3 linked regions of the Nothobranchius furzeri genome follow. The protein of the gene in region 2 purifies or fractionates together with the protein of the main gene of each other region. This does not show direct contact. Links are inferred from orthologs where the notes say so. Each region holds a gene or a part of one and is shown on either strand. Other genes may lie near its edges. The genes, in order: cct3, strn3 and mink1.

Evidence for each region.
Region 1: the proteins of strn3 (region 2) and cct3 purify together in Homo sapiens (affinity purification with mass spectrometry; 3 studies listed by BioGRID and IntAct, with this or other methods). This does not show direct contact. The link is inferred for Nothobranchius furzeri from reciprocal best matches to the Homo sapiens genes STRN3 and CCT3.
Region 3: the proteins of strn3 (region 2) and mink1 purify together in Homo sapiens (affinity purification with mass spectrometry; 3 studies listed by BioGRID and IntAct, with this or other methods). This does not show direct contact. The link is inferred for Nothobranchius furzeri from reciprocal best matches to the Homo sapiens genes STRN3 and MINK1.

What each region holds. Positions count from the first base shown.
Region 1 is NC_091759.1:9,428,257-9,438,682, forward strand, and holds cct3 (T-complex protein 1 subunit gamma), read right to left. Parts: upstream 5,436-10,426; 5' UTR 5,333-5,435; coding exon 5,305-5,332; intron 4,040-5,304; coding exon 3,978-4,039; intron 3,696-3,977; coding exon 3,645-3,695; intron 3,551-3,644; coding exon 3,488-3,550; intron 3,403-3,487; coding exon 3,306-3,402; intron 3,203-3,305; coding exon 3,085-3,202; intron 2,919-3,084; coding exon 2,732-2,918; intron 2,620-2,731; coding exon 2,470-2,619; intron 2,393-2,469; coding exon 2,260-2,392; intron 2,154-2,259; coding exon 2,072-2,153; intron 1,990-2,071; coding exon 1,809-1,989; intron 1,739-1,808; coding exon 1,493-1,738; intron 1,386-1,492; coding exon 1,254-1,385; intron 1,049-1,253; coding exon 956-1,048; 3' UTR 831-955; downstream 1-830. Other genes in the region: pdia8 (protein disulfide-isomerase A3), read right to left, coding at 6,300-6,389, 6,475-6,532, 6,616-6,695, 6,802-6,930, 7,019-7,127, 8,034-8,216, 8,306-8,431, 8,521-8,634 and 5 more. UniProt on the Homo sapiens protein: Component of the chaperonin-containing T-complex (TRiC), a molecular chaperone complex that assists the folding of actin, tubulin and other proteins upon ATP hydrolysis.
Region 2 is NC_091758.1:17,984,115-17,994,440, forward strand, and holds part of strn3 (striatin-3), read left to right. Parts: intron 1-1,586; coding exon 1,587-1,690; intron 1,691-2,047; coding exon 2,048-2,121; intron 2,122-2,203; coding exon 2,204-2,282; intron 2,283-2,540; coding exon 2,541-2,702; intron 2,703-6,735; coding exon 6,736-6,874; intron 6,875-6,963; coding exon 6,964-7,099; intron 7,100-7,222; coding exon 7,223-7,362; intron 7,363-7,434; coding exon 7,435-7,613; intron 7,614-7,999; coding exon 8,000-8,047; intron 8,048-8,340; coding exon 8,341-8,462; intron 8,463-9,144; coding exon 9,145-9,312; intron 9,313-9,525; coding exon 9,526-9,666; intron 9,667-9,764; coding exon 9,765-9,872; intron 9,873-9,994; coding exon 9,995-10,081; intron 10,082-10,326. UniProt on the Homo sapiens protein: Calmodulin-binding scaffolding protein which is the center of the striatin-interacting phosphatase and kinase (STRIPAK) complexes.
Region 3 is NC_091750.1:48,031,266-48,041,691, forward strand, and holds the start of mink1 (misshapen-like kinase 1), read right to left. Parts: upstream 5,200-10,426; 5' UTR 4,968-5,199; coding exon 4,911-4,967; intron 980-4,910; coding exon 914-979; intron 1-913. UniProt on the Homo sapiens protein: Serine/threonine kinase which acts as a negative regulator of Ras-related Rap2-mediated signal transduction to control neuronal structure and AMPA receptor trafficking.

The sequences.
Region 1 (10,426 bases), on a different chromosome or scaffold from region 2:
AGATGCCACGTAGACCTGGCAGACCCAAACGCATAGTGAGGGTCTGCTGGGAACGCCTGGCAGAAGAACCTGTCAAGACGGTCTTCAACTCCCCCCTCCGGCAGAGCTTTGACCGCGTCCCGAGAGCAGTGGGGGACATTGACTCTGAATGGGCCTTGTTCCATTCTGCGATTGTTGAGGCGGCTGTTGCTAGCTGTGGTCGCAAGGTGGCCGGTGCCAGTCGTGGTGGCAACCCCCGTACCCGCTGGTGGACACCAGAGGTTCGGGGAGCCGTCAGGCTGAAGAAGGAGGCCTACAGGGTGTGGCTGGTCTGTGGGTCTCCGGAGGCAGCAGACAGGTACCGGATAGCTAAGCGGGGTGCAGCAGTGGCAGTTGCCGAGGCAAAATCTCGGGCGTGGGAGAAGTTTGGTGAGGCCATGGAGAAAGGTTATCGATTGGCTCCAAAGAGGTTCTGGCAAACTGTCCGGCGCCTCAGGAGAGGAAGGCAGCAACTCGCTCACACTGTTTACAGTGGGGATGGGGAGCTGCTGACGTCAACTGGGGCTATAGTCGGACGGTGGAAGGAATACTTTGAGGAGCTCCTCAATACCACCTATGCACATTCCGAGGAGGAACCAGAGCCGGGAGACCTGGGGATGGACTGTCCAATCTCGGGGGCAGAAGTTGCTGAGGTCGTCAAACAACTACACAGCGGCGGAGCCCCATGGGCAGATGAGATTCGTCCTGGGTATCTCAAGGCTATGGATGTTGTAGGGCTGTCGTGGTTGACACGTCTCTGCAACATTGCGTGGTCAGACAAAAATATGAATTAATGAAATCAGAGGAACGAGTCAAGCTTTCTAACTTTGTTTTTATTATGTTTGAGTGAGTCAGGTGGTCTCCACACATGCAAACACACACATTTAGATACAAACAGTCGGAGTAACTCTGCTGCTCAGCCTGGATCTACTTAGACCTATTCGGCTCCTTGTCCTCCCATCTGCTCTCCTTTGTCTTTCTTCTTGTGCCCGGAGACAATATCATCAATACGTAGCAACAAGATGGCCGTCTGCAAAACACAGAAAAATGATAAAAACTGTAAACAGATATTAGCAACTATGTGTCTGTTGCTGCTGCCTCTTGGCCAGATCTTCGTTGTAAATGAGAATGATTTCTCAATCGACTCATCTGGATAAATAAAGGTTAAATAAAAAAAAAAACAAAAAAAAAAAAACAATATTATTGATCAGATCAGATTTGAGAACGGTTCGGACCTCAACAGCAGTCTTGTAGGTCTGAGCTTTAACAGCTAGTGGCTCCCAGATGCCAAGAGCTGTCATGTCAGACAGAGAGCCGGTTTCTCCATCAACGCCCCAGCTCACACTGTTGTCCTGAGTGTGTTTGGCCTGAACAAACAAACAAAGAAACATTAATGTTAAATGCCTGTGTTAACCAATCAGTAGCTCAACTCTAACCAAAAGCTCCAGGTCTCAAAAATAAAATTTGTCGTTACTCTGAGTGATGTTAGAACTCGAATAGTAGAGGCTCCACAGTTCTGGATCAGGGTTCGGGGGATGACCTCCAGAGCCTGGGCCACAGCGCGATACGGCCACTGTTCGACCCCCGTCAAAGCGCGGGAACGCTCTGTCAAACGCTTCGACACCGCCATCTCAACAGCGCCGCCGCCAGGAAGCAGGAATGGGTCGAGTAGCACGTTACGGCACACCTGCATGGCATCCTGCAGGTTCCTCTCCACCTCCTGCAGAACACAAACGTCCTTACACAAAGCACATATTAACCGGACTGATTTAGAAGATGGGGAAACTCACCGCCAGGATCTCCTTGCTGGCTCCTCTCAACAGGATAGTGCAGGCCTTGGGATCTTTACACTCTGTGACAAAAGTGAAATACTCATCTCCGATCTTCTTTACTTCAAACAGCCCGGCCTTCAAACCAATATCTTCCTCACGCAGTTCGTCTGTTCGGCTCACAATTCGAGCTCCACACGCCCTGAAAAACACAGCAAGCGTATAAAGCTATGTCAGAGTAGGACTGACTTGGTTAAAGTTCTCTGCGTAACAAACAAATATACCTGGCAATGCGGTTGTTGTCAGTCTTCCTCACACGGCGAATGGCAGTGATGTTTGCCTTCACCAAGTAGTGCTGAGCCAGATCTGAACGAGTAAAGAAGAGTTAGGACTGAATAACAGTTCTTTTTAAGCTGCCTTTGTAATGCAAAGACTGAACAACAGAGAAAAACACCAAAAGTTGTTCAGGTACCTGAAATGCCCTTTTCAGTGAAGACCAAGTCTGGTTTGAGGCGGATGATGTCCTCACAGATCTGATGGATGTATTCTTCCTCCAGCTGTAGGATCTTGGCAAAGTCCTCCTCCTTAGTTATCTCTATGTCTGTCTGTAGAATAAATGTGAGTTAAATACTGATTTATATAATCTGGTTATGTTCTAAGACAAAGAAGCAGCTCACTATACCTGGCTCTCCCCCTTTTTGTACTCCAGAGAACAGTCCAGCAGGAGGATACGGGGATTTTTGATCATTCGCCTCATTCTTGGGTGAGTCACATCTTTGTTCACCATCACTCCTTTCAGCACACAGGAATCCTCGATGATTCCACCTGGAACCTGAACACAACACGGGAGATGTGAGACAAAAGAATGAATGCAATTAATGCAGGAAACACTTGATCTTCTGTTCTAACCTAAAGTGATCAGGTGTAATGAGCAACAGTCGTACCTTCTCTACTTTGGCGTACTTCTTGATGTCAATCTCTTTGCGCCCGTTCTCTTCCAGCTCCACCGTACGAACGGCGTCCAGCGCGATGTTGCAGGCCAGCTCCGACCAGCGGCTCAGAGCTTTGGTGTTGATGGCAGAGTGAACAATCTTCAGCATCATGGAGCGGTCTGAAGTGTCCACGGGGATGCTGGAGGAGGACAACAATATTCAGTCAAACTTCCTGTACAAGTTTCACAAAATTAACTCATTCATAAATGTGTAATGTTATTTCTAAGCTGCTGTTTGGTTGGCTTACAACAAATCAAAAATAATTATAATGTAACAAGGAGGCGATGGAAACTGTCAGACTCTACCTGATTTCCTTCAGTGTGTCCAACATGTCCTCCAGAGCCTGTCTGTAAGCACTGATGATCACTGTTGGATGCATCTGCTGCTCCAGAAACTGTTCAGCTACAGCCAACATCTCTCCAGCTGAAATTTGAGACATTAAATGACGGATGTTAAATAAAACAAACTGAATTCCCTCTAAAGGGGAAGTCTGAGCTTCTTTAGATTAAAAATAAAGCTTTTATACCCAGTATGATGACTGATGTGGTCCCATCTCCCACCTCTTCATCCTGTGTGCGACTGATCTCGATCATCGACTTGGCTGCGGGATGCTGTACCTGAATCTGTTGCCATGGAGAAGCAGGATGTTATGAAACACTGAAGGAATTGATGAAGTGACAAACTTCCAAGTGTTTATGTGACCCTGACCTCTCGGAGGATGGCATTTCCATCGTTTGTCATTACGATTCCTCCTGTAGGGTCAAGCAACATCTAGACAAAATGACATGAAAACATGGAATATTACGGACTTATTTTATTTTTGTAAATGACTGGGTGCGGTGATTCTCTGTATAGACAAACTCACCTTCATCATGGCCCGTGGGCCGAGGCAGGTCCTGATCACATCGGCTATGGTCTAAAATAGATTGCACAAGAACAATATATGTAAGGGCTGGGGGAATAAAACAATTTTAAAACAAATGAAGCATTTTTCTCTTCAGAGACTGATCTCAGTCTATTAAGAGGAATTTCTACTCTAGTCTGGCCTTTTCTTTCCCAGCTACTCAACGTCTCCATATTAAAAACAAAAAAACAGCCTAGATTGGCTAATCTCAAACATTAAACAGTTTTCTTCCGCACTCAAAAGACAGATGAGACTGTCTAACACAAGCTTTAACGTTTTACAGCAACAACTGACCTTTGCTGCATTGATGTTTCCAGTTTGGACTTTACGTCCTGATTCTCTCTTCACATTCTGGTCTAAAAAGAGACAAGAAAACAGAGAAATCACTACAGAGTCACCTAATTGAAGGGTGTTTTTGCTTCAAAACACAGATAGCCATTATTTCGAGTGACCCAATTAAATGACTAGCAATTCGAAATTGTTGGTTTTAAAGAAGTAATTTATCAGTATGGTTAGCAATCCCATGCCTGCCAGATCGATAACAAACCAACACATTACATTAAAAAAAATCAATAAAAACAGCTGTGTATAAATATGTGACAGATCATTTTTGACAAATGTCCAACACTGTTAAAATGCTTCAAAATTAATGAATATGATTTACCAGTCACGTAGGCCAAAGTGCATCTATGACTAGAATCCTTTGTAGTAAATTATTCTCCTTACTAACTGAGTTGTTGCATCTTTATTTAAAATCAATTTTGTTGGATTGTATCATTAAACTAGTAATATCTATACAGCTAAATAAAACATTTTCTTATTGCATTCCAAATAAAATGAGTGTTTCGAATATTTAAATAATTTTTTTGTTGTCGTAATTTTTTTATTATGTTATACTCTTCTTTTTAGCTCCTATAATGAATTTAATTGCTGCTGTGACACCAAAATCCCCCCACTGAGGGAGCTATCTATTCTAGTCTAAAATAATTGTAAAGACAAAATGGACGGAATATACCAGTACAGATAGAGCTTTCGTGATTTCAGACACTATGAATGAATGAATTTTGATTTTTGCAGGATAACAATGCTGTCAATTCGCAATTACAGGCTATCAAATAGATCAATCGAAATCGGAATGTATTAAAGCGGATGCTTATTTTGTTGTTCAGTTCAGTCACAGCGCACACACAAAACTAATTCAAAATCGTGTTTAATAGCTGCATCAAAGGTAATTTCATGTCTTTTTTAATTATTATATAATGTTCGCAGTTGTCTAACTGCACGCTCATGATGAGTAAGAGGACTGTTAGCTTAAGCTAGCCTAGCCTAGCATACCTACACGCTTTCCGCTACTTCCGAACACGAGCTAAATATGCTAATGATGCCGGTTGGGTGTGGATGCTATCAGTAGCATGTAGGCTAACAATGCTAATACCGGTGGAAGAAGCTGATGCTCGGCTGAGTTATAACAGTTGGTTAGCGCATCCTTAGCTGCTTTGTGTCCCAGCCGATCTGCCCCGCGTTCAAACGGTCACAAAATTGACTAAATTGCAGAAACTGGCGGGAAGTAACCGACATCTAACTATTGAAAGTATAGTTAAGAACAAATTTCGATACTTACTAAGCACTAAAACCTGCTGGCCGAGCATTTTGAGACCACGACGCTAACAGCACTAGCCTCGAAGGTTCTGGGTGGCACGAGGAGAGGGACGGCTCAGACAAAATGGGCAAGACATTACTTGAGGTCCGGCCAATTAGCAAAGACTATTATTTTTGATTGACATGCGCATTCACCAATAGAGTGAATGAGGTAAACTCTTCTAGTAATAGGCCTTTTATGGAGAAAACCTAATAGAAATAGAACCCACAACGATTTAGCAAAAAAAAAAAAAAATTTTTTTTACGAAGATTGAAAATGACTTTTATGTGTTTTAACACTCGTGGAACTTGCAAAGTTTGTTCAGTTGATCCCAGCTATTATTATTAAGCTTTATTACAACACACAGGCATGGAAATAATGGTTGAGCAAACTCAGGCACACTGAAGTATAATTTAAAAATTAAATTTCTTTTTAAATCCCATCATAAAAACAACGGCTGAAAACAATTTTACAAAAGCTATTAAGGCGTATTAATTCATGAGAATTTAATTAACAGTCAGTTGTCAAGCATGGTTTTATTACATAATCTCAGCAGAGCTTCTCAACATAACAAAGCTCACAAAATAACCAAAGACTGCCAAAGTATAAGTAATTAAGTCAATAAATAAATAAATAAATAAAAACTAAACACAGCACCAAATACAAACTGCACAGATGGTATTATATCAAAATGCATTTAGTTTTCTGGAATAAAAAAACAAAGAATTGCACATGAAATGGCTTTATAAATGAATAAATATATAAATAGTTCTATTCAGCAAGGACATGGTTTTAGAGGGGAGTATGGAAAGAATCTGATTGGTAGAAACAAAAATGGGTGGACCATGTCCTGATTCGTTGTTTCTGGTGTGTCACCAGGAGCAGAGCTCTTGCTGCCCATTCATGTCTGTGTAGCTGTTACAAGACTTGATCTTTTTGTTAATCAAAGTCAGTTCTGATCAGTAGGTGAATCTTTGTCACAGTTCGTCCTTAAACCCAGTCAGCACCAGACCATGACTCGCCTCACTCTTCAGGAACTTTAGGAAGTCTTTGAGCTCTCGAGTGCCCTGAAATCAAGATGTCCCACAACCATTAGACATCATGTGTCTCAAAGATTGATGAACTCAAGCTGAAACTATTAAAACTTGGTACCTGGTATCGAATGGGCTCATCCTTTTTACCCACTGGAGCAAAATAGATGGTTGGAAACCTGGAGAGAAGAATAAAATCATAGGAAATAAAGACTCATGAATTTTCTTCTTTAAAAGTGCTCATCAACATCGTCATCCTCACCCTTGGACATCGTATCCCAGTGGGATGTCATTATAGACGGCGTTCATCTTGGCAATGACAATGTTTGGGTCAGAATGCAACTGAGAACACATAAAGAGCATTTTCAGATTACTATCAGAGCAACACGACCTAATTCTAGAGTTTAGTGCACTGAAACTTAATCAAAAATACAATAAAGCTGTGTACCGTGTCAGCCAGCTCTCTGTAGACCGGCTCCAGCTTCTTGCAGTGTGGACATAGCGGGGAAAAAAACTGAATCAGAACATCTTTAGCAGGATCGTTCACGATTTCATCAAATGATTCTGCGACAACCACCTGCGGTGTTGAAGACAAAAGGAGGTCAGCACAAATTTTTTACAATCAGTATTTACAATCAGTCACGCTCACAAGCAGCTCAGCTCACCTTAACAGGAGCCGTGTTTTTCTCAGGTAAAGGTTCTGATTTTATGTAACGTTTGAGACGACCGGCAAAATAATCTTCAAGGAACCTCCCCAGTGACTGACCATCCCTCCTGAAACACACCAGTCAACTTTTAGTATCCTGAAGACTGACCAGCTGTCATTCATGCAATGTGAGCAGCATTTTCAAGACAGGGTATCTGCAGGTTTAAGGGAGCCAAATTTAAGACTTTTTAAGACCTTTTTAAGGCCACTTTGACCAAATTTAAGCTTGTCGTCGTCTTCCTCCACTTATCCGGGTCCGGGTCACGGGGGCAGCATCCCAACTAGGGAGCACCAGACCATCCTCTCCCCGGCCACCTCCACCAGCTCCTCCGGCAGGATCCCAAGGCGTTCCCGGACCAGATTGGAGATGTAACCTCTCCAACGTGTCCTGGGTCAACTCGGGGGCCTCCTGCCGGCAGGACAAGCCTGAAACACCTCCCCAGGGAGGCGTCCAGGAGGCATCCTGACCAGATGCCCAAACCACCTCAACTGGCTCCTTTCGATCCAGATCCAAATTGAAGCTATTTTTTAAATTAATTTTAAGCTATAATTTCTAGCTATTGCCTGGAACCGGTGCTAACCACGTCGCAAACATGGGATTAGCCATCCAGTTACCATTAAACTTGCACTTCTCCATGGCGCAAGCTCCCACTAGCTTAACCAGCTAACGTGCTCATCTAAAAATAGTCCCCTTTCACAACCAACTGAATGTGTACGGTTCCGCTTACGCCAGTATCGTACACAAAAAATGCTGAAATTCACGAAAATGTCATAGAAATAAAATAATCTAGTTTATTGGGTCTTTGGTAATTTAAGACCTTTGGAAACTGTATTTAAGGATTATTTGTCATTTTTAAAGATTTTCAAGGCCTTTGGAAAAGTAAATTTAAGGACCCGCGGATACCCTGCAAGAGAAAATTAATGAATAAAAGCATTTCAATGGACGTTTAGCCCCGTTTGACCCTAAAACCTACGTGAATTCTTCCCTCATGACATATTTGTGTCCCAGTTTGGTCCGGATTGTGACAAACGGGAGCTCTCCTCCATCTGATGTTCCCAGACCATATTCGTCCTCCAGCTCAGCTTGGAAGTCCTTTTTATTGGCTACTGAGAACATTAAACCACGCCCAGTGTATTTAGATGCCACCTTCATCACCCTGGTGACAGGACATACAGCAAAGAGATCTAAACACACATTTCCTGTCCACACACTCAACCACCTGCCACCTGTATGTTTGTATGCTACCTGTTCCTCCAGTAGTTGGACCCTCTAACGTTGTGATGATAATCCAAGTCATAATACGCCGTCAAGAGGTCACGAACTCTCAGACGATCTCGGGTCTCCAGCGTCATGTGAGGACACATTCCATATCTGTACACACAGATGGAGTGAAACTGTGAGACATTGGCTTCTTTACTGTCCTTCATATGCATTCAATGAAATAAAAAAAAGAGTCTCACATGTGATCTCTGATGAAGCGTCTCAGGGAGCTAATAGTCAGGTAATCTTTGAAGACAACGACACTGCCCTCAAAAGTGTTGGACAGTCTAGGAGGTCTGAACAGCAACACACTCCTGTGAAAGCGTAGATAACTCACAGTAACATGTTAAACACCTTTTGTAGTCTTGTGGCGTATCTTTGTGCACTCACTCAGCGTTAGCATGCTCCTCAGCAATTTGCAGATCAGTGATGTGAGCAAATCTGAACTGTCCTCTCAACAGACCAGCAGCTTTCAGGAACTCAGCTAGATGGGAGCTGTCACTATCTGAGAAAACACCTGAGACACACACACACACAACATCAATTCAATAACACGCGTGATTAAAAAAAATGTATAAAGTCTTCATTGTTTATGAACAAAGCTAAGCGACAAAGTCCCACGCTGTACATCAGTCATACCAACAATGCTTGCGTCGTAGTTTTTGACAAAGGTCTGGAGGTCTTCTTTAGACTTTAAATGAACCGAGTCTGGACCAGTTTGTTTCATCATGTAGTTATAGATTCCATCTGAATTCACAAAGATATTTACATATTCATTATTATTGACTTCATGACATTTTAACCAATTTTTTTTCTATTATTTATTTTTTACTTGCAGTTCGAGGTCCATCGTAGGGTGCAGAGTCCTTTCCGTACCTGAAGATCTTCAGAGTGGGATACCCCGTGACCCCAAATCGACCACAGGTTACGGTGTGTGCTGTACAGTCCACCTGGCAGACAGGTGAGACACACTGGTCAGGTGTGATGTTTGTTTACAATGATAATTGGGGATGCACAATATATTGGTATCAGCCGATGTTAGTCATCTTTTAACAAATCGGTATCGGTCCGAAAAGTAAAAGTGGGCCGATATTGACAACCAATGATTTTTCAATCTTGTTTCTATTTGTGTATCTGGGGGGGGGGGGGGGGGGGGGAACGACATTCAGTCCTGTGACAGTGATGACAATCATGATAATCATCTCAGAAGCATAAATGTGTGTCGTGTGTATATAATAATAAATTGCAAATTCCACTTTATAGAAATAAAGCAAAACATTAAAAATTTCTGCTAGCATAATTTTCTGTCTATACATAATTTGCTGATTCCAGAAGCATAAATGTCGGCGCGTATATACATATCGGTATCTGCAACAATTGGTATTGGCCCAAAAAAATTTGTATCAGTGCATCCCTACTGTGCATGCATACTCATGTTATTACCTTTGCGAACTGAACAGTCCCCTTCAGTTGCCTAGCTGCTTTCTGAAACTCTGGAGCTAATTTCTTGCAGTGACCACACCTGAAAGGATAAAATAAAAAAGAAAGACAGGAAATTAAGAATGAAAGTAGTAAAATAAAATAAAAACATAAAAGAGACAAAAGAGGAAAAACACCTTAACCCAACAAAAACAGCTAACATAAATCACTATGCTAGGTTACCATGGCGCGTAGAACTTCACCAGCATGGTCTCGTGCTCCGTTGCCAGGTAGTCGAAGTCTGCGTCCCCGAGCTCGAGCACGTCCCGGCGTGAAAACACGGTGACCGGATAAAAAGACAGCAACGCCAGCGAGACGGCTGGAAGCAGACAGATGACGGACATCACGGTGTAGACAAAATAGACCCGGACTAACACGGAAAAAATAAAAGCACATCAAAAAGATGCGACCATCATCCCGGAGCCAGAAGAACGGTGGCCAATCAAAACGAAGAAACACTAACTGATTGATTTCCGGGTGTAGCTTTCAAAATAAAAAGCATATGCTGATTTTGAATGAATAAATTAAAGTCAAAAGTTAAATTTGGGAACATTTATTTAAAACTTATTATTAAACCTTTTGTTTTCTTAAAATTTTTACTTAAACCTTTCCATTAAAGGGAGGGTG
Region 2 (10,326 bases):
ATGTGTTATTTGTGGAGATAAAACATCAGTGTTGCAAAGCAGAGTCAGTGGTAGAGTCATGCGGCTGTTAGCCAATTAGAGCTGAGATGTCCAAATATCTGGAAAGAAGGCTTCTGCTCACCTCTGCTCTGAGTCACTTCTAGTTCCTGAAACAGGAGCGCAGAGTGTTTTTCCCACAGAAAACGAATCACAACGTGTTTATTAATGCTGAAAACCGCTGCAAGTGAACTTGGTCTTTAACGGAATGATCCAAATAAATCTGAATAATTTGATTCTGGACATGAAGGATCTGTTGTTGCTGATGGGAAGGCGAGTTTGTTGCAGGATGCTTGGTAACGGTGCCTTCACCAGTGAAAAACAAAAACAGTCCACATATGTTTTTATCAGAGCAGGCAGCAAAATCACTGATTAAGCTGATCATGCAGAGAAATGGTGGATTCTGATTTCCTGCTGATTTTTTGTGCGTCTGACGAGCCAGGTTTGCATGCTGCATTTTGAACGCAGCCTTGAACCTCAGAGGTTGTAGAGTTTGAGGCTCGTTCAGCAGTTGCAGCTAAACAACCAGACACGCGTTGGCAGATTGTGGAGCTGCAACGAGACTCAGCTTTAGGAAGTGGAGCGATCCGCTGATGAAGATGGTGAACTCCTACAACATCTATCTTTTACTTAAATCGTGGTGTGATGGGAGACACACGTGGCTGGATTTTTTCATCAGTGAGGTGGTAGCATGTGCAAGTGAGACCAGACGGTTTTAAACGGGGGAACCCATCTGTACACAACACAGAGTGGCTCCAAACAGGAGAAAATAATCTGAGCAGTTCAGTTCTAAACATCATGGCTTGAACACAGAGCAGGTGCGCTAGTGTTAGCCTACTCCTCCACGTGGAAACGCATCAGAAATGTGATGGGACAGATGGACGTATTGTCCCAGAGCGCTGAGCTAATTATAAACAGCAGCAGCAGGAGGACACTCTTGACCTCTGAGGTCACACTACACATATAGGCTGTTTGTATTCTTGGTTTTCCAGTTTATTCCTTAACATTTTCAAAAGAGAAGCTAAAACCACCACATTCTTTTATGTTTACACTGAAATGGAAAGTGAATGTAAAGAACAGAAATGATGCTGATTAAAGTCCATTTTGAGATCAAACACCTGTGGATTTGAACCTTGCACTGCTGTGGTCTCTGAATCTGACGAGTCCTAATCCATAATGTAAACAATTCACTGTTGAATACTTAGAGAGAGCAGCTTTTGTCCAAACAGGAGTTCTGCACCACTTAGGAGCTACGAGGCTAAAACTAGCTCGATCATTAGCTAGCTGCTGATGTGGGCCAGCCCCTCTTGCTGATGCCAGCCAGTGTTAGCCGCTAGCTACTTGGACTGCTAACTGATTAGAGTTATAAGCAGTGGTTTGATAAAAAAAAAAACAGCCAGCGCGTCAGTTTGAGATTAAACGTCCCAGAAACTCATCTAAAGTTGTTTAAAATAGTCATCAGTTTCAGGTCCGTGAAATAAGAACTTCTGATGTGACTTAAATGTTCATCGAGGCTCTGACTTGTTTACAGTTTGTTTTTGTGTCTCCAGGCCAGGATAGCGTTCCTGCAGGGAGAAAGAAGGGGCCAGGAGAACCTGAAGAACGACCTGGTCAGAAGAATAAAGATGTTGGAATATGCTTTAAAGCAGGAAAGGTGAGATTCATGCATTCGTTTAATCTGCATTAACTTCTGACTCAGAACAGCTGCTGATGCAGCTGATCTACCTGTCAGCAGGTGTTAACCAATCCCGAGCCAGCTGTGTTAGCTTTAGCTTGTTCTGATGTGTTTTTTGTGTTTACTCAGTAACAGGTGAGCTAGCTTTTAACAGTCACAAAGTTATAGTATAAAATGAACTCAAAACTTCAGATTTCTAAAACTACTTTCAAAAGTACATTACAATAAAAGTAAATGTAACTAAGTACTTTACAGTTGTGGTTTTCCTCCTGCTGTGAGGAGTCTGCTCCTCTTTAAAGTAAAGTAATGGGATTTCTTTTTGCATGCTCCTCTCAGAGCAAAGTACCACAAGTTAAAATATGGAACAGAGTTGAACCAGGGTGAGGTGAGGATGCCGAGCTTCGAGTCAGGTAGGTGATGCACAAAGCGGCCTTCACAGGTGAGTCCCGGTGGGACCTTCATTTACTCAGCAGGTCTTTGTTTTCTCTGCAGACATCAAAGAGTCGGATGTCTCTGCTGTTCCTGCCAACAGTCAGCTCATGTGGAAACAAGGACGACAGCTTCTTAGACAGTAAGACAGCTTTAGGATGGAGATCAGATCTGGAGTTAGTCTGGGGACTAACAGATCTGTGTGTGTGTGTGTGTGTGTGTGCACATTAGCAACTGATAGTAAAGCATATTGGAGGCTTAAACGGCTCTATATGAGTGGACCATTTTAATTCACTAATCTATTATAACCAAATCCTCCTTGTTCTTTGAATTATTTAAAGGGTGCATTTTTCTTCAGACTTCATTGCTGGCTTACTTTGAAGTCTGCTGTGTGTTCCAGGTACCTACAGGAAGTGGGTTACACAGACACGATACTGGACGTCCGCACTCAGCAGGTCCGCTCTCTGCTCGGCCTGTCGGGTTCAGAGCAGAATGGATCTGTTGAGAACAAGAATCTGCAGCACCTGATCAACGGGACGGAGCGATGCAAAGAGCCCAAGAGGTATACACAGAGCTCTAGTTCTTTGACTGTGTAGAAGCTTTTCTCCTTCACTGTGATTGTGCTAATCTACCTTCTGTTTCCATTAGATTTATTAGAAAGTGATCTGGGTGCAGGGTAGAGGCAGGCCCAGTAGGGGGCAGTAATTTTGTGATTTACCCACTGACATGTGCAGGCCTCTGCCCCCATGGGCGTTGCACCCGTGGGGGATGTGGGGGATTCAACACCCACACTTTTCCAGCCGTTTTGCTCACCTCCACACCAGTCTGGTTTCTCGCACTCACTCTGTTTGCCTCTTCTCCTTCTTCCCCTCCCTCTTCTGTTTCTCCAAACAGGAGAGAGAGGGAGGGAAGAGCCCGACTGAATTCATAATTTTACATCGTGACATTAGCTGTACAAACTCTCAGTTTGATAAAGTGAGGAACAACAATTTGCAGAGGTTTATAACAGGCGCGGTGCCAGGTTTTCATTTTTGGGTGGGCCACGGTAATTTTGGATGGACCTTAATAAGCAGTGACTTAAGTGAAGCAGGATGGTCGCGCTAGAAAATTTCATTTAAAAAGACGTCATAAATGTTTTCCCCCGTCATTTTAATTTCTAAAATATGAAGTAAAAACTCCCAATTTAATTTTCATTCATTTTTCATTTATAGGCACCAGAACCTCCACTTCTAATATTTACCTCTCAACGTAGGACTCTTTCATAAGGGTACATGCACACCGGTAGTTTTTACGGTTATTCATGGGCAAAATCTCTGACAAATGGGCCATTCCCATCTGTACCGGGTCGGCCCGGGCCGGGTAGCCCCAGTCGGCCCCAGCCTGGCCCGGTTGATTCCACACATCCTTGTCTTAAGCCCATGTGGGCTGATTCTACCCACCAATCAGAGGCTTGCTCTAATGGAAGGTGTGAATTTGCTGTCAGCAGTGGGTGTGTTGGCCCTGGTCGGCCTGAAGCAGACCCCCTCGAGAAGAGGGCTGAGAATGAGCCTTGGTTGGCCCGGAAAAATACCAGGCCACCCAGATATGTAAACAACCTACGCTACCCGGCCCGGGCCGACCCGGTACAGATGGTAATGGCACAATTTTTGAGAAAAAAAATCCATCTTCCAGTAAAAGCAAAGCATCCAGCCCACCTCTCCAAATGCGTAAAATGTGCATCACAGCCGCTAGGCGCGCTGCGCGCACCGTCAGCTACGTCAGCCCAGACAAGAGCAGAGCAAATAGAGAAATAATAGAGGATAATTGTGTCTGGATGTGGATGGAGATTACATTTTACAGCAGCCTGATCATCATTTAAATACGTAAACCATCACCTGTCCTCTAGTCCACGCTATCAGCATTATTTTAATTTGTGTGTGTGTGTGTGTGTGTGTGTGTGTGTGTGTGTGTGTGTGTGTGCGTGCGTGCGTGCGTGCGTGCGTGTGTGTGTGTGTGTTTTCCACATCAAACACTGGTCTAATCAACCAGACCAGCATGTCCAGTAACATATTAATGTTACAATTAAACAGTTTCACTTCATGTAGGCTAGGAACATTTCACCTGCCGTGGCCCGACCGCTTCTGCTCCACATAAACTTTGTGCGTGATCAAATGTCTCTACGCGTCATGCGTCTCCATATTAGACACGGGAACAAGCGCTGTTCAGCCTAAGTTTCATAATTTCATAAAAAGAACATTTTTCCAAGTGACACATCCCTCAGAGAGACCGGGTTTCCAGACCGCTTCAGTGGGAGGAAATCTTACCGCATGCGCCGTGGTTCTGCACTGCGCTGCAAACCCCTCTACAGATCTTCAGCTCACTGTCCACCGTGGGCGCTCCGAGCCGCGCTGAGCACAGTGTCCAGTATAAAGCTCTGATGTTCTGATGGGAATCATTTCTTGATTGATTTAGTTACCTCCGCGATGTGCGTAACGATTAAAATGTCAGCTCATCTGTGTGTGCATCAGTGTGCGTCGGGGTAATTCTTTCAAAACAACCAACATCCTTGAGTTTATCTGTCAAAATAAACAGTCAAATGGAAATATCTGTAACCTGCCATTTTACTGTTTTGCCTTCTTGTGAAGATTGTTGCAAAGAGAAACAACTAAACTTGATTAACCCCAGAGCCATGCACACTGCACTGTACTGACTGTAAAATGAGGGGGAAACGATTTAATTGGATCCTTTTCTCTTCAACATGGTTTAATGTAAAGTTTCATTCAGTACAACCTTTAGTTATACCAATCTAACGAGACAGAGCCTTTATTTGTATTCTGAACAGTTTAAACATGTTTAAAACGGAGACATGCGTGACACGTCTAAAATTCGCACCTGCTCCGCTGTTATGGAAATTAAGCTAACAAGATGAATAACATGAAATTATTTTGGGCACAGACAACATCCCCCACACTTTTGAAAAGCTTGAATGTGCCTGTCTGCCCCCACTGTTGATGGGTTGAATCTAGGGCTGGGAGATGTGGCTTCAAATCAGTATCACAGCATGATGAGCAGTTCACATTAAAAACGATGAATGGACGATAATTACCCGTATGCGCAAATACAAAAGTTGTCCACTAGATGGGGCTGTGGCAACATAATCGCTCCACAGCTGGTTTTATTGATGGTAATATTCCCCCACATCTATTCATAGTATGAATAGATGTGGGGGAATAATCAATATTTACTATGAATTTCATAGTAATTATTAATTAATTGCTACTTAAAAATAATGCGCAACTAAGTACTTAAGTAATTTGAGTTGTCAGGTAGTCAGGTTCTCTATAGAGTGGTTGTACTGAATGTTACGTCCTTTATTGGACAAAGCTGATCTTGTCATCTTGCTAACCAGGCTTAAACAATGGGTAGGGATCTCAGGGATTGCTCTGGAGTGGCAGGGGTCTTATCTAACTAGGATGTTGTATGAAGATTGGTAAAGCTCCATCTTACCTCATCTGAGGAGTGCCGCAAGGTTCCATCCTCAGACCCCTTTTATTTACCCTTTACCTGCTTGACATTTCAGAAGTATAAGCTGAGTTTTCATCTACATGCTGACTGTTGTTAAAGCTATTGCCCCATGAAACTGGGATAAAATGGTGCTTTTAAGATTATCCTGGCATGTCTGGAGGAGGTAAATATTTGGCTGGCTTACAGTTTTCTGAGTTTAATGAAAATAAAACAGAGGCCATTGTCTTGCTGCTGTTTTTACAGATTAAACTAAAGACACAGGAACAGACTGTGTTGCTACTTAGGAACCAAAAGACACAATTTTATATACAAATCTGCATCATCCCTTGAGCTATGTGGCCTTTGAAAGACTTCCAGAAGGTCTGAAGAAATGAAGATGGACCTGTTGCCAATCTAGATGGAGTAATGATGTAGTTTTCTTCTGAGACATGGGTTGGGCCTCCATAGAGGGTCACGAATAACGGGTGGGGACCGGAGAAGATCTCCAGAAATCTAAAACATCAAATCATTATTCCTAAAAGCATATTTGTTTAGAAATCTGAAGTTCCCATAATATTCAGGGTTTTGGTAAAGTTCAACCAGTGGTTTTTGGGCTTTCAGGTTGTGGAATGGTGCAAACACATTGAATAGAATAGGATAGACTATTGATCCCACAGAGGGGAAATTCTCTTGTTACTGCAGTATAAACACTTAAGAGAATACTATGAAGAAAAATAATAACAAAGGTACATGTATACACACATAGGCAGTAAGCTAGTATTGTAACCTTCAACCACTAAAAACCACAAATAAAAATGAAAAACTTGGTTCCAGAACCATGCAGCATACTGTAAGGGATGCAGACATACTAAGTTCATCTGGTTTTGCACAAGTATTGAACACATACTGAGTATTGCATTGATGCTTTTGTGTACCAGGATAATACCAGTACAGCTTAAACTGAGGAGTTCTACACTCTTACTGCAGAGGGGATGAATGACCCACAGAAGCGTTCTGTTTTACATCTGGGATGTCTCAGTCTATCTCTGAAGGAGCTGTCCATGGTCTCCAGAGTGGACGTGTGTGTGAACCACATGTGTGTTTGTGTGCAGAATTCCAACTGACAACTTGGAGACGTTCAACTTCTTGGAGAACACAGAGGACAGTGATGAAGATGATGATGAGGAGGGAGACCTAATGGACGACATCACTACGGACAAACACCATCGAGCTAAAAAACATAAAATAAATGTATGTGAAGAGAAACTGTGACTTAGCACCATTTCCCTCCTGTACTCCATTCTCCTGGAACTTTTTTTTCTGCTCTCATGGTCGACCAGGTAGGAAACGAGGGCTTAGCAACAGAGGATGACGCAGACACGGAGGAAGCTTTGAAGGAGTTTGATTTCTTGGTGACGGCAGAGGATGGAGAGGGGGCGGGGGAAGCCCGCAGCTCTGGTGATGGGACAGAGTGGGGTGAGATAGTCATCACACGTTAGCCAGCCAATGATCAAATGCAGAAATAAAACATGACGCATGTCTGAATGTTGGTGTCTGGACGTTTTGGACACAAGTGAATTTATCTGAGTCTCTCTGCAGCAGAGCCTCTACCCTTTTCCACTGCTGGGGGAAAGTCCTTCTTACTGGGGGGGTCTGATGATGTTCTGGAAAGCGTGCTGGGTTTGGGGGACCTTGCTGACCTCACCGTCGCCAACGATGAGGTGGACTTTGGCTACGATGTGAGGAAATGAAACTCAGTGGAACTCTGTCTGAATTCCTGATAAATGAGCTCACTCTGGTTTTGTCCTCAGCTCTCCTCCAGTAAAGAGTCTTCCTTCAGGAAGACCTGGAACCCCAAGTACACGTTACGGAGCCACTTTGATGGGGTCCGAGGGTTGGCGTTCCACCCTGTGGAGCCCTGCCTGGTCACAGTGTCTGAAGACCACACGCTCAAACTGTGGAACCTCACCAAGACCGTCCCAGCCAAAAAGTATGTGTTCTGATTTCTGGGCCCTCACTGGGTACAGGAGCTGCATCAGCTCAGGGTGTTGGTGGCTTTTAGTCGTTCCTGTGATCTTCTCTCACCTACACGACGTCGTCAGACACAGGTCCTCTGAGCTCACCAGGGACACTTCAGCTTTCTTTTACTCAGAAAAAAACTACAAATGAAAAACACAATGAGACACTAGGAACCAGGTGAGAACATTCAGACTGCTGATTCGTTAGATATTCCAGGGGCGTGGCTTCCAGACATATATACAGTTAGCAGGTTGTGTGTTATGATCAGATAAGGAGTTTGTAAAATGCTCGGAAGCTTTCAGGATTGATGTTTATTTAGAACACCAATAACAGGTGTGATGACATTCTGTGTTCCAGAAGTGCCTCGTTCGACGTGGAACCGGTCTACACCTTCAGGGGTCACATGTATGTATCAGAACCAATGTGGAACATTAACATGTCACGTCTCCTTTTAACACATCAGATTCCAACTGTAGACATGTTTTATTAACCACATTTAGTTGTTTTAGAGATCATTTTTCAGATTCCCCCCCCCCGAGGGGGCCGGGCACCCCTAGCTCCCCCATAATTTAAGTCCTGTTTGTAACCAACTCTGTAGCTACTATTATCAAAATAAAGAGTATAAAGTAAAGATATAATTAGCCCAAGTTAGAGATAAATCTGAAGGCTTGTTATAGTTTTGTGACGTGTCTTTTTAGTGGTCCGGTGCTGTCGTTGGCGATGACCTCCAGTGGCGAACAGTGTTTCAGTGGTGGCATCGACTCCACAATCCAGTGGTGGAACATCCCCAGCTCCAACGTTGACCCTTACGATACCTACGGTACTTCCTGGTCTAATCACAGTCCTCACTTCTCACTTTCATAAAAGGTGTTTTTTGCCTTTAGCTGCAGGAGGGCTGGCGATGTGGACCCAAATGGTTAAAGGAGGTTTGGCTCATCTTTTCACACAAACAGGAGAAACAAAACTTGTCAGTCATGGTGAAACGGCTCTCCAAAACAATCAGAGACGCATCAGAGACATAGAAACAACAAGCTAGCAGTAGCAGTGACTGCTGACTGCAGAAAGTCACTGGTTCTATATTCATATTGATTTAAACTTGATTGGTTATTCTTGTGTCTTGTTTGAAAATATATGGATGTGTATTAAAAACGTGATATCTTGTCCATTTGTAAGGTGCAGGCTATGACACCCCCACAGTGGCGGACCTAGGATTATTCTGAGCATGGGGCCATAATTTTTATAGAGGGGGGCCAAGTGTTAGTCAAACATCCTTACACAAGGTTTCACTCTGGAAAACTATTTGGCTCATTAACGCCACTGGTGTTTGGAATCGGAATTGCGTCTACTTATAAAAATTGTGGAAAGGACGGATGAGTGACAGGGCAGGGGCACTTGAGGACGCCAATCGGATTTCTGCAGGGGCCAGTGCCTCTCTGATCCCTCTCCTACAACTGTCAACCCCCCCTCCACATCTTCTCCTGATGTTCTGCTGTGTTTTCCAGATTCCAGCGTGATGGCCGGGTCCTGGGTGGGTCACACAGATGCCGTGTGGGGATTGGCCTACAGTGGCATTAAGAACCGCCTCCTGTCCTGCTCAGCTGATGGGACTGTGAAGCTCTGGAACGCAGCAGAGAAAGAACCCTGCATCAGCACTTTCAACACCAATAAGGGTGAGTCTAGACTCTAGAGAGCCTTGTTGTTATTTTCAGAACCAGGCCATCAGGTATTTGCTACTGAAGGTCTTCGCTCTCTGCCATGTTGCTTTCTGGTCAGAGTTCTGTTGGGTCTGCTCTCCCGACTAGCAGAACATCGGTTACTAGTTTCCTTCACTCAGAGCAGCTCTGTCAGATAGGTCAGGGTTTTTCTTCATGTGTCTTCTGCAGAACACGGAATCCCCACGTCGGTGGATTTCAACGGCTGTGATCCCGCCCACATGGTGGTTTCTTTCAACGGTGGAGATGTGGTGGTGTACGACCTGGAGACTTCCCAGATTGCACTGGTCCTAAAGGGCCAGGGTGACAGCAGTAAGGACACGCACACGCACGCGCGCGCGTGCACACACACACACACCATTATCATGGGGTTGCAAGGTGGTAACTGTAGTGGTTCTCTCCTCTGCCAGCCCTCCCTTGTCTGAATCATATCAACAGGGTGGTGAGCCATCCCACGCTGCCCGTCACCATCACCGCTCATGAGGATCGAAACATCAAGTTCTTTGATAACAAGTCAGGTGTGTGTGTGGTTCTAGTTCTTTAATTGGACACTGGGCTGGATGTGTCTGGAGTCGGGGTTTCTGCAGATTGAACTCATCCATCTGAGTCATTTATTTCCCCTTTGTGACGTCTCCCGCAGGTAAAGTGATCCACGCCATGGTGGCTCACCTGGATGCAGTGACCAGTCTGGCTGTAGATCCAAACGGCATCTACCTGATCTCCGGCAGTAAGTCACTTCCTACTGGACCTGACCACCAGACCAGTATTACATCTGCTGATCTGGAACCAGCCAGTGCTTTTCAAAACCCACTTTTACTCCTTTAACAAGTAGAGCTGGACACACATCTTTTTTAATGGTTTTTATTTTCTAATTCTGTCTTTTTGAGTTTATTCCTTTTATTACCTGCTTTTGTTTGCTTTGGGGGGCTGCGGTGGGGGTAGTAATGGTGTTCCCTGTAACAGGATGCCGGG
Region 3 (10,426 bases), on a different chromosome or scaffold from region 2:
GAGTGATTCATAAAAATGGAGATTTGTAAGACGTTAGCTCTTACCATTCTATTTCTCTACCTAATCCTTTATTAGACAAATTAATCCACATAGAACAAATATGCTTTCCGTCAATACTTATAGTTATTTGTTTGAATGTATAATTTGAGATTATTATACAACTATGATAAATTTATTATATGTATAATAGAAAACTTTTGGATATTAATTTGGGACTCTTTCAGAATGACTGTACACAATGGGAGAAATTTCTTGTTTACAGTATAATACCGATATTTTAGAAGCCATTTACAAGCCAACTGTCAGGTAAACATACAGCAAGCAGTAATTTAATAAAACAACTTAAAGAAATACTTTCAACTTGAAGGTCACAGTAAGTAACTACACTCAAAATATAAACGCAACGGCAGTATAAGGTACACCTGTGCACTACTCATGATGTCAGATCAGCATCATGATGTGGCACACCTGTGAGGTGGGATGGATTATCTCAGCAAAGCACAGGTGCTCACTGTCACATTTAGACTGATTTGTGAAAAATGTTTGAGAGAAATGGTGATATTGTGCATCTGGAATGAATTTTAGATCTTTAAGTCCATCTCATGAAAAATCGGAGCAGAAACTAAAGTGTTGCGTTTATATTTTTGTTGAGTGTAGATAAGTGACGAGATTAAACGTAAACTTCCACAGGTAGCGCGTCTCGACTTGTAAACAGCCGGTGACGCAATAATCGGCATGCGCTGCGCATGCACATTTCCCCAAAGTAGCACATTTCGACGAGGAGCACGGATAGTCGGAACACCGGCACTAAAGAAGGTTATGTTGACAAGTTTCAGCTTCTTAAGGAGAGATGGCTAATTACATTAAGACAAAGATTAGACTTTATATGGATCACGGAGGATTAACAGCTCACCTTGTACACCTGCCCATATGTGCCATTACCAACAACCTCAACCAGCTCGAAGATTCCTGCTGGATCCTAAGAAAGAAAGAGATTCAATTATTTTACACCAAATATAGCCCAAAGCACACACCATTTGTATTTTCTACACAAGTGAATTTAAAATGGAACAAACACTAAACACAAAGCGCGCCATTTATTTTACAGTTTATTTGCTTTGTTTTTCCACGTGTACCCTTCAATGACAAGGCTGTGCGTCGAGTTGTTAAGCTCACATTTCTTCAGCCGACAGTCTCCATCAGATAATAAAATGCTACTGAACTGCACCTGTTCTTATCTGTTCTGCAACCTGGCTTCAGTTGTTTCGCCAGGTAATTCAAACAGATCTAAAATCACTAATTGTTAGACTGATAAAAATAACGTGAGGGCTACACCAGATTTGAAGAAGCCCTTAAACTCCTCCCACAATGTCAAAACATTTTTGAGCCAAACATCTCACAAAGCAAGAAATAACCCCAATGATTCCACATTGTACATCATTAAAGCAATCAAACTCAATACTCATTTTCATTTATTAACCATCTGAACTTCATCTTCCTACCCACCCACATAATCTGACATTAAACAGCACAAAACATTGATTCTCAGATTCACAAGTATGGATTCCAACTAGAACTTCAGCCTTCCTCTTAATTTGTTCAGATTATCTTTCAATGCGCTGAACACACATTTCACTGACACTAATAACAAGTAGGTTGCTCTGACTAAATATGCAACCCCCCCTCTCCCTCTACAGAAGCAGTTCCACTTTCATGTAATTTCAATATGGCTTTAAGAAGGTGTGTGGGTGGTGAGACTGCTGCCTTGGGTTTAGAATGTACACCATGACCTATCCCGCTTTCATCTATTTCCAGTCATCTATGTTCAGCCTTCAAAATAAAGATTTTCTTTCAGGACAAGGAATGCAGGAAATGATACGATAGTAGACGAAAAAGCAGACAGTTGATGACAAACATAACGGACAGATTTATAGGCAGGTTATGCATAAGGACACAAAGGAGGAGCAACAGTGATGTGAAACAGGATGCAAGAGAATGATGGTATGGAAGGGAATAATGTAATGATTGAGTGGGTGGAGAAGCAGAGGCGGTAGCTTCACCCACATCCAGCACAGAGAGTGGGAAGAGAAGAATGAGCTGAAACAAGGGGAAGGGTACAGTTACAGTCAAAGAGAAACATCCACAACATACAGCCAAACAAGGTCCAATTATCACAAAAAAGGCAGGAAAATTATTCTGTTAGAGGAGAAGAAATCTGCAGTTAGCCAGCTCAAACACAAACCAATGCACATGTAAGATATGTCAAAGTGTCATCTAATAAAGACTACAACAAATGCTAATAAACAATAGTTTACCCACACAAATATTAAGCTTTGATGTTCAAAAAGCAACATGAGCTGAAAGACACTTGTTAAGGTCCAAGGGGAAGTTGATACCACATTTCCTGCAAGGGTGCTAACTCTGCTGACACGGGAAGTCTTTCAGGAAAAGGAACAAAAAAAAAAATAAAATAAAATGACATGGCTGTGGTTAAAAAGCTGCAGCTATCAACCAAAAACACAGCCCAAAACTTATGAATATAAAAAAGAAATGTCTCCATTTTGGAAATAAATTTTTTGAAATTTGAGTGTCTTTGAAAATGATGACACAAATTTAGCATCCACTGGTTTAAGCCTATAGAGGCCAGTTTGAGTTTTTCCACTTTGACATGATTTTACAACTACCCGCATTTTAAAACAGCAGCACTCTTGAGTTCATCAAAATAAAAATCACAAGAATACATTTCTCATGGGTTTCATTTCTAGAGGGCTGGTTATATCTGCTGATCATCATCCAACGTTATTTTTATACTCAAAGGTGTTCGCCTAAATAGGAAGATAAGACATAAAATCTCCAATTCCAGACACTAGCACAAGCATGCTATTATTTGGATTTTTTCTCAGTTCTAATAGTATTATCTACAATTCCAGCAGAAATAAATGCCAATCTGCAGAAGACATGCTTTTGTAGTGCTACTGGCATTTGAATCAAGTGTTTTGGTCCAAATAATTTGTTGATATCTGTGTGCAGTAGTTTGTTATGCAACGCTGGAGCCCTTCAGCATTTTGCTGCAATATTTTCTCAAAGATGCAATAATTAAGCCACTGAGACGATCTCGTCTCCTCCCAGAAGAACTTTAAAATGTCTCTTTTGAGCGTCAAAGGCATTTTATTGTTGCAGACAAGAAAGGAATAGACAGGCAGGCATGCACGCAGGTGGGTGCACACACGCACGCATACACACACACACACACACACAAATTATTTCACATGTCATGGCAATAGCCTACATGATGGGAAGTGCCAACAAAATACTACATGACAAGCATGGTTTTTGACTGTGAAATGGTAAGATCTGCTTCTGATCATGTTGCACAAAGACTTACTTTTAAATATTTTTGCAAGACTTTAAAAACACAAACACGACTTCGTTTGAGAATTAAAGAGAAAACCAAACTTTTATTTTTGATCAAACACAAGGCCTCTACAAGGCACATTTAAGTAGTCAGTTTCCAAAATCACAAGAACACTTTCACACTTGTATTTTGTGGGTGCTAGCCAAGAAGATCTAGATAAAATAAAAAAAGAAACCTCACAATAAAATACAAGCAAATGGGACTGATGGTGTTCAAAATGAAACTGCAGGAACACCAGCGGTGGGCTGATTTGGTCAGACATCAAAATGACTGACAAAATATACATAGTCATCTTATTCATAAACAAAACAAACAGAAATAGAAATAAAAGGACTACATGATGACATATCTCCTAGGCAACCGGGGTGGGACAAATGCATCAAGATGAGGTTCCTTGACATTGAGAAACACCCCAGATTTTTAGGCTTTATATTCACCTACTGATTAAAACCAGGTGTGTTGGAACAGGAAAACAACAACAATGGATAGAGGCACTCAAGGACCAGGATTGCCTACCCCAACAGTACCATTTCCACTGCATAAAGACTTGTTGACACAGTATTACAGAGTTTAGTATTACAAGAAGCTAAAATGATACAAAATGTTCTGATTGGAGACAAAAAATATCCATTTGCATTCAATCAAATGCACATTTTTAGTCTTAATTTGATTATGTTAGTGAATTTGTAATTTCCTAAAATTTTTCTAGTGATGCATATTGTTTCACAAAACATATAATATTTATTAATAGGATAGGTTAACCCTAACCCATAAACAATTGAATTACAACCTTAATACTAAATAATCTTAATTTCTACTCCAGATCCTTTAAAAACCAATCATCTTTTTAACAGAGTTTGCATCAAGTGTTTACACTTTTCTAGGTTTTGTATTCACATTGTTCATTTCCTGCCTGCAGCAGAAAAACTAGTTTGAAAATCCAGGCAGCATTTTCCAAATTAACACCAGGCGAATAATAATTTGCTAATTTCAATTTTTGACTGAAAATCTCAGATTAATAATAATTTAAAAAACAACTAGATTTAAGAGCCATCAAACCTGTAATATTTAAAGAAGTAACACGTGGAAGAATGATTGCAAATTGTAGTTCAACCTGACCCATTAAATACCATAACATTTACTGTTGATGTGATTCAAAAGAGATTACCTCACAGCAATCACACTGACATGATAGAGCATTTTAGACCGGAAAGACCAAGACTGTCATGAGAAAAATGTGCCAGGGATGTTTGTTTCTCCAGATACAGAAATCAGATGACATTTTCTGCAAATATCTGTGATTTTAAACCGCACAACTGCCTACAACACAGGGGCCGGGGGGTGTTTATTTCACCTCAACTTCGTTGCGTGGGCTGTACTAGGTAGTGCTTGTGTCAGAGGAAAACTCAGATGACATAACACCTAAAAGAGTCTGTCTGCGGTGATTTTACAAATTGCTGCACACTTATCTCGCAGTAATAATGATAATACTCACCCTCAGAGCTGCGAGGTCGATGTCGTCCAGGCTTCGTGTGGGGGCGTTTTCAGACATAGCTTAGAAAACTTATGACGTTAACCAACAAGTAAGCCACTCTTATTCAACAAGGAGAACTTTGGGGAGAAAATCCGTGGCTAATCACGAGGTTATAGCGGCCGAATCTACAGAGACCAATTAGTGAACCGGATCTTTAAACGAACTGAAGCTGCTGCGGAACAATTACATTAGCACATCCATCACAAGGAAAGACCGTCACAGACGCACCCAGCTGGCTAGCTCACATCAACTCTGGCCGACAGCTGTGGTGTTATCCGCAGGAGTTTTACAGAATAATCTGCAGATAAAAATAAACAAAATAAGCTCAGTTTAAATGTTTTTGTTTGTTTGTTTGTTTGTTTGTATTTGTTAGCGTGCCAGCTGGTTGGTCATAAACGCTAATCTAACAACTGGCAGAATGCACCTCCGCTGTTGTTGAACACCTTACTGCGTTCATTTTGACAAGACGCTGCGTCTCTGCTGCTGAAAAACATCCCAGCTAATGTTACATTTAATACACAAACACACGCAGAGAGAGAAACAATACCAGATAATGTCCCGCTGGAACATTAACTGTGCTGACAGAGTATGAGACATTTACGCCATTGAAACGCAATGGTTGCTTTTAAGAAGAACACAACGTCTGATATGATGGCGTCCGGGTCCGTCCGCACCAGAACCGATCGTCAGGCTGTCATTATTAGCCTTACATGGATGTGCCGCCACAGTTACTTAAGAGCGGATATTTTACAATAAATGCCTCGTTGGAAATACAGTTCCCTTTTGCTCAAAGTTGTTATTTGCCAGTTTTTTTACCCGAGCCCAAAGTAATCGGAACAACCCGACTCAGGTGTGCACATACGATCCTCGCGCTAACGCTGCTAAGCTAGCAAGCTAAACTGTATTTTTTCCCAAAACAATAAAAAAATAAATAAATAAAACTTTCCCTCTTAATCCATTTGCGGTGTTGACAGTCGCGCCTAGCTCTGCCAACCTTCCGGGGGAAACACAGCAAATGTTCACGACAGCCACCATTAACTCATAGGCTAGATAAATCAGCTCGTTTAAAGTTGACCGTTGCTGTCCTTCTCCGGTGTCCAAATTGGTAAAAAAAAAACGTAGTCCAATGGTGAAATATGTGGTGCAGTTTCTACCTGCCGATAAGAGCAAAACTTGTTACTTCGCCATGTTTTGCCTCCTGTCCTCCCTCCCACTCCAGCCTTCATGTAGTCCTGTGGGTTTGTACTGACTGCACACAAACACTCCTCAAGTGTTTTCTGCTCTTCAAGGGATACGGCGCCTCAGCAGGGACAAATCACCTCAGAACAGATTTACTGTGGGCCCCAGCAGCTCTGCAGCTCTGTCAGTTCTGTCTAAAAACATAAACTCTTCTGCTGAAGTTTTATTACTCCAAATGCTGCCAAAAACTTCAGCAGCACATCTAAGTATCCTCGGTTCACCATTTCTTTCAATCTCGAATTTGCTCAACAGGTCATAAATGCTGTGGCTATTTTTCCCATTACAGCATACTTTGTTTTCAGCAGATCATAAGGCTTTTATAATAAATAATGCATGGATCATTTCTAAAGCTGTCCACCAAGATTCCAAAATAATAATTTGATGGAGGATAATAACTGTGGTTGCATTGCAAAACCTCAGATAAATATATTCTTTGTGAAATAAAGCTGAAGGGAGGGTTTGGATTTCTTTAATGGTTTCTGTGGAAAGGTTGTTAACAGTTAATATCTGTTTTAGATCGCTCTAGGAGTTTGGAGAAATCAAAATGAGTTCTGACCAGGTTGATGAGCCACTGACTAATCACAGCAGAGCCAGTAGTAACTAATTTTTCAGTTTGTCATCCTGACTTTAATTGTGGTTTATGTGAACACCAATTAGAAAAACTTCCATAAATTACATTTTTTATCTAGATATGATTGAGCAAGGAAATTTGCACTTGTGATGCTGCAGATAGAAGACATGGTGTTTGCATGAACTAACTTTTTACCTAGCCTTAAGCTTGGGGCACACTGGAGACAGACGCACCACACCGCTGTTTTGGGAAGTTGGTCACACAGGAGGCGCAGCTGAGCGTTTCTTCCCTCACCATCTTGATCAGAAACACCTACAGGAAACTGAAAAGATTTTACTAAATTTTGTAAGGAAAAATAAGTCACACCAGTTACGTAAGACAATACTCATGAATTCCTATGAAAATGGAGAGTTCAATTTCCTAAACTTTGAAACGCTGCATAACACTTTTAAGATAAACTGGTTCAAACACTTGATCAAAAATCCAGCCTCAATTTGGAATGCTATCCCTCAACATGTTTTTTTCTAAAGTAGGCGGTATTCATTTTTTTATGGTCTGTAACTTTAATATTGATAAAATTCCCTTAACCCTTTGGTGCATGAATTATGAAATCTTCAACCATGATTTTTAAACAATTTTTTTCATTTGTCTTTAGGTGTGAATGAAACAAATTTCAACAAACATTTTTTGTAAAATTTTATAATTTACAAATAATTTATTACACGTCCATCTCAGTGGACAGCGTGCATTCTGACATGAAATATGTTGGCTTGACTTACTGAAGTCCAAATGGAGGGGCTCAAATGCAATAAAGTCTTCAACAGCTGTGCTTAATAGCAAAAACAAATAAATAACAATTTTGAGTACCTGTCCACTGTAGTGACCACTATGCACCAAAGGGTTAAAATTAAGTGCTTTTCACCGCCAGGCATTCTTGGCATGAAGTCAGATTTACAAGCACAACTTCAGCCCTCATAAATACTTCATCTGGAGTAACAGGGACATTCTGTACAAAAAAAGAACATCTTTTTAGAAAACTTGTTTAACAGTGGTATTGTTTTGGTAGATCAATTGCTTGGTAATGAAGGCCTTCTTTATACATATGAAGAGTTTTTGAATAAATATGGTGTTCCTGTTTCTCCAGATGAATATGCAAATGTGGTTATGGCAATCCCAGCTGGAATATGCATGTTATTTAAATCCCTCTCTAGATGTAGCTTACAACCAGCTGTGATGTCTCCATTACACACCTATGTTGGCAAGAGGTGTTTCTCAACTCCATCCACAAATAATAATAAAATAATTAGAGCATTATTCCAACAAAATATTTGCACATAGGCATGCCCATTCATATTGGAATAAATTTGTACCTGAGTTATTATCGAAAAATGTCTGGCTCTTACCTGACCAGTTTCTTATTACAAATAAAGTCAAAGAAGTTTCCTTTAAAATTACACATAGAATTTACCCTGTTAACCCCTTCATAAAATTCAGGTTTAAGAAAGACATTGAAGTGAATTGCTGTTTTTGTAATAACTTTCCAGAAACTATTGTACATCTGTTTTGGAATTGTCAGGTTATCAAACAATTTTGGCTGAAGATCAATGATTTTATATGTATCAAGATTGATCCAGACTTAAAATTATATTGGAGAGATGTATTGTTTGGGCATTTTGTAAATAAAAAAAAATTGAGAATTCTAAAAATATATATTATTAATCTTATAATATTGCTGGCTAAATTCCATTTTCACAAGTGTAAGGTTACAAGTAGAAAGCCAATTTTTATTAGCTTTCAAGACAAGCTGAGACAATATGTTTCCTCCATCAGAGATTCTTCTAATTAAAAAGCCTTAAAAACGTTAGTTGAATGGTCTACATTTAATTTATGAATCATTCATGGTAAAATATTATCTAAAGCAATGTAGAGGTATGGGTTTTCTGTTTAAACTGTTTGGTTTATTGGTCTGTTAACTTTCCCCCTAGTGTGTGTGTTCATGTTATATTCAGTTCTTTTTTATTTTGTTCGCTTATTGTTCACTCGATGTGTTTCATTGACCATTTCATTTTGAACTATGCTTTAAATGTCCCTCACTGTTTTATACAATTTTGTTGATGGTACAATTTTATCAATAAAGATGAGTGAAAAAAAAAAGCTGAGCACTTCTTGGAAAGTCACACGATAGTCATAACATCACACGGGATTTGTGAACAGGAAGCAGGAAGTGACTCTATAGGGAGTCACATCCGCATCACAGGTCCCCGGAAGAACGAAAACCATGAATGCAAGTCAACAGGGCTAAAAACGCTATTTTCTAATCTGCTTTGCCTTACGCCCTGCATCACACATATGTTGTTCTGCAATTTAAATGAAAACTAATGATGGGTGTTTTGACCATGCCTGTCACACACTTTGAGATTTATTAGCTTGTAAAACTTTGTCATTTGCATGACTACAAACTAAAAATCAGCACGTCGCATATGTGACATCACCACATAATCTCCTGTCCACAAAGTAGCTGCTACTTACCACATGACCAGATTTATGGTGGTTCGTTTCTCCTGTGGGAAGTTTGCTGAACTTACAGCCATTTTCCCCTCAGTTTTCTCCGTGTCTGGTTCGATGACATCACTTTCTTGAAGCGCATTTGTAATTCTGGACTTCTTTTCACACAAAACCTAAAATAGCGTTTCCCCCTGTTCGAAAATAAGCGCGTTCTTTGTATCCAAATGAGTCTTTAAAATTCACGGACATCATATGTGAAATCCATGGCACAAAACAAGTGGAATTAGAAAATAGTGTTTTTAGCCACATTGACTTGCATTCGTTTTTTCGTTCTTCCGTGGACCATGATGAGGTAGACTCCCTATTGTTTACACATGATCAGAAATTGGCATCGTGTTTTGTGAGACACCAATTCATTAAAATGGGTAAGCATGCTTTTTATTAGAATATTTTAAGATCACTAGTACTCTAAAGTTATCAATACTGCGGCTGGGTTTGTGCCTTAAAGTCTCTCCGCGTTATGTCTCTTTTAAAGTACTCCACAATGTTGTAAATGACAGCGACGCTTGAAATAGAACCGGTGCCTATCTTCAGCGCCTGGGCACTGCGCTTCTAGGATGCAATGCGGCGCTCCCCGTGTAGCCCCTCTCATCAACTATAATGGCTCTTATTTAAAATGACAGTGCAGATGCAGCGCGACTGTCACCGGTGTGCCCTAGGCTTTAGTGTGACCAGCTGCCAGTTCGTTAATCCTATTAGAACAAATCTATTTCTCCAAACTGAGGCCACTCAGAGCTATCAACATCGGGTAAGATATAACTTTTCCACATAGAACACTCAATGCCAAGTTATTTTAATGTTTCTGATAATTAAAGGCATTTTATTAAATGTTCATTTTAACAGTGCTGGACACAAACAATACAATATAAATGTGCTTAATGTTAAAAACAGATGTTTTTATTGTAATTTAATTTATTTTTTTATAAACAAAATAGTTACATTTTTAGATCATATATAAAATACAGTTTTGGTTAAAATGATGAGGCTACAATAAATGATTTCAAATTAATATAAGAGCTGATTTAAAGTTTAGTTCCACAGAAAATAATAAAATGGAATAAGAAAAACAAAAATTTATGCATAGGTTACACATACAAATATG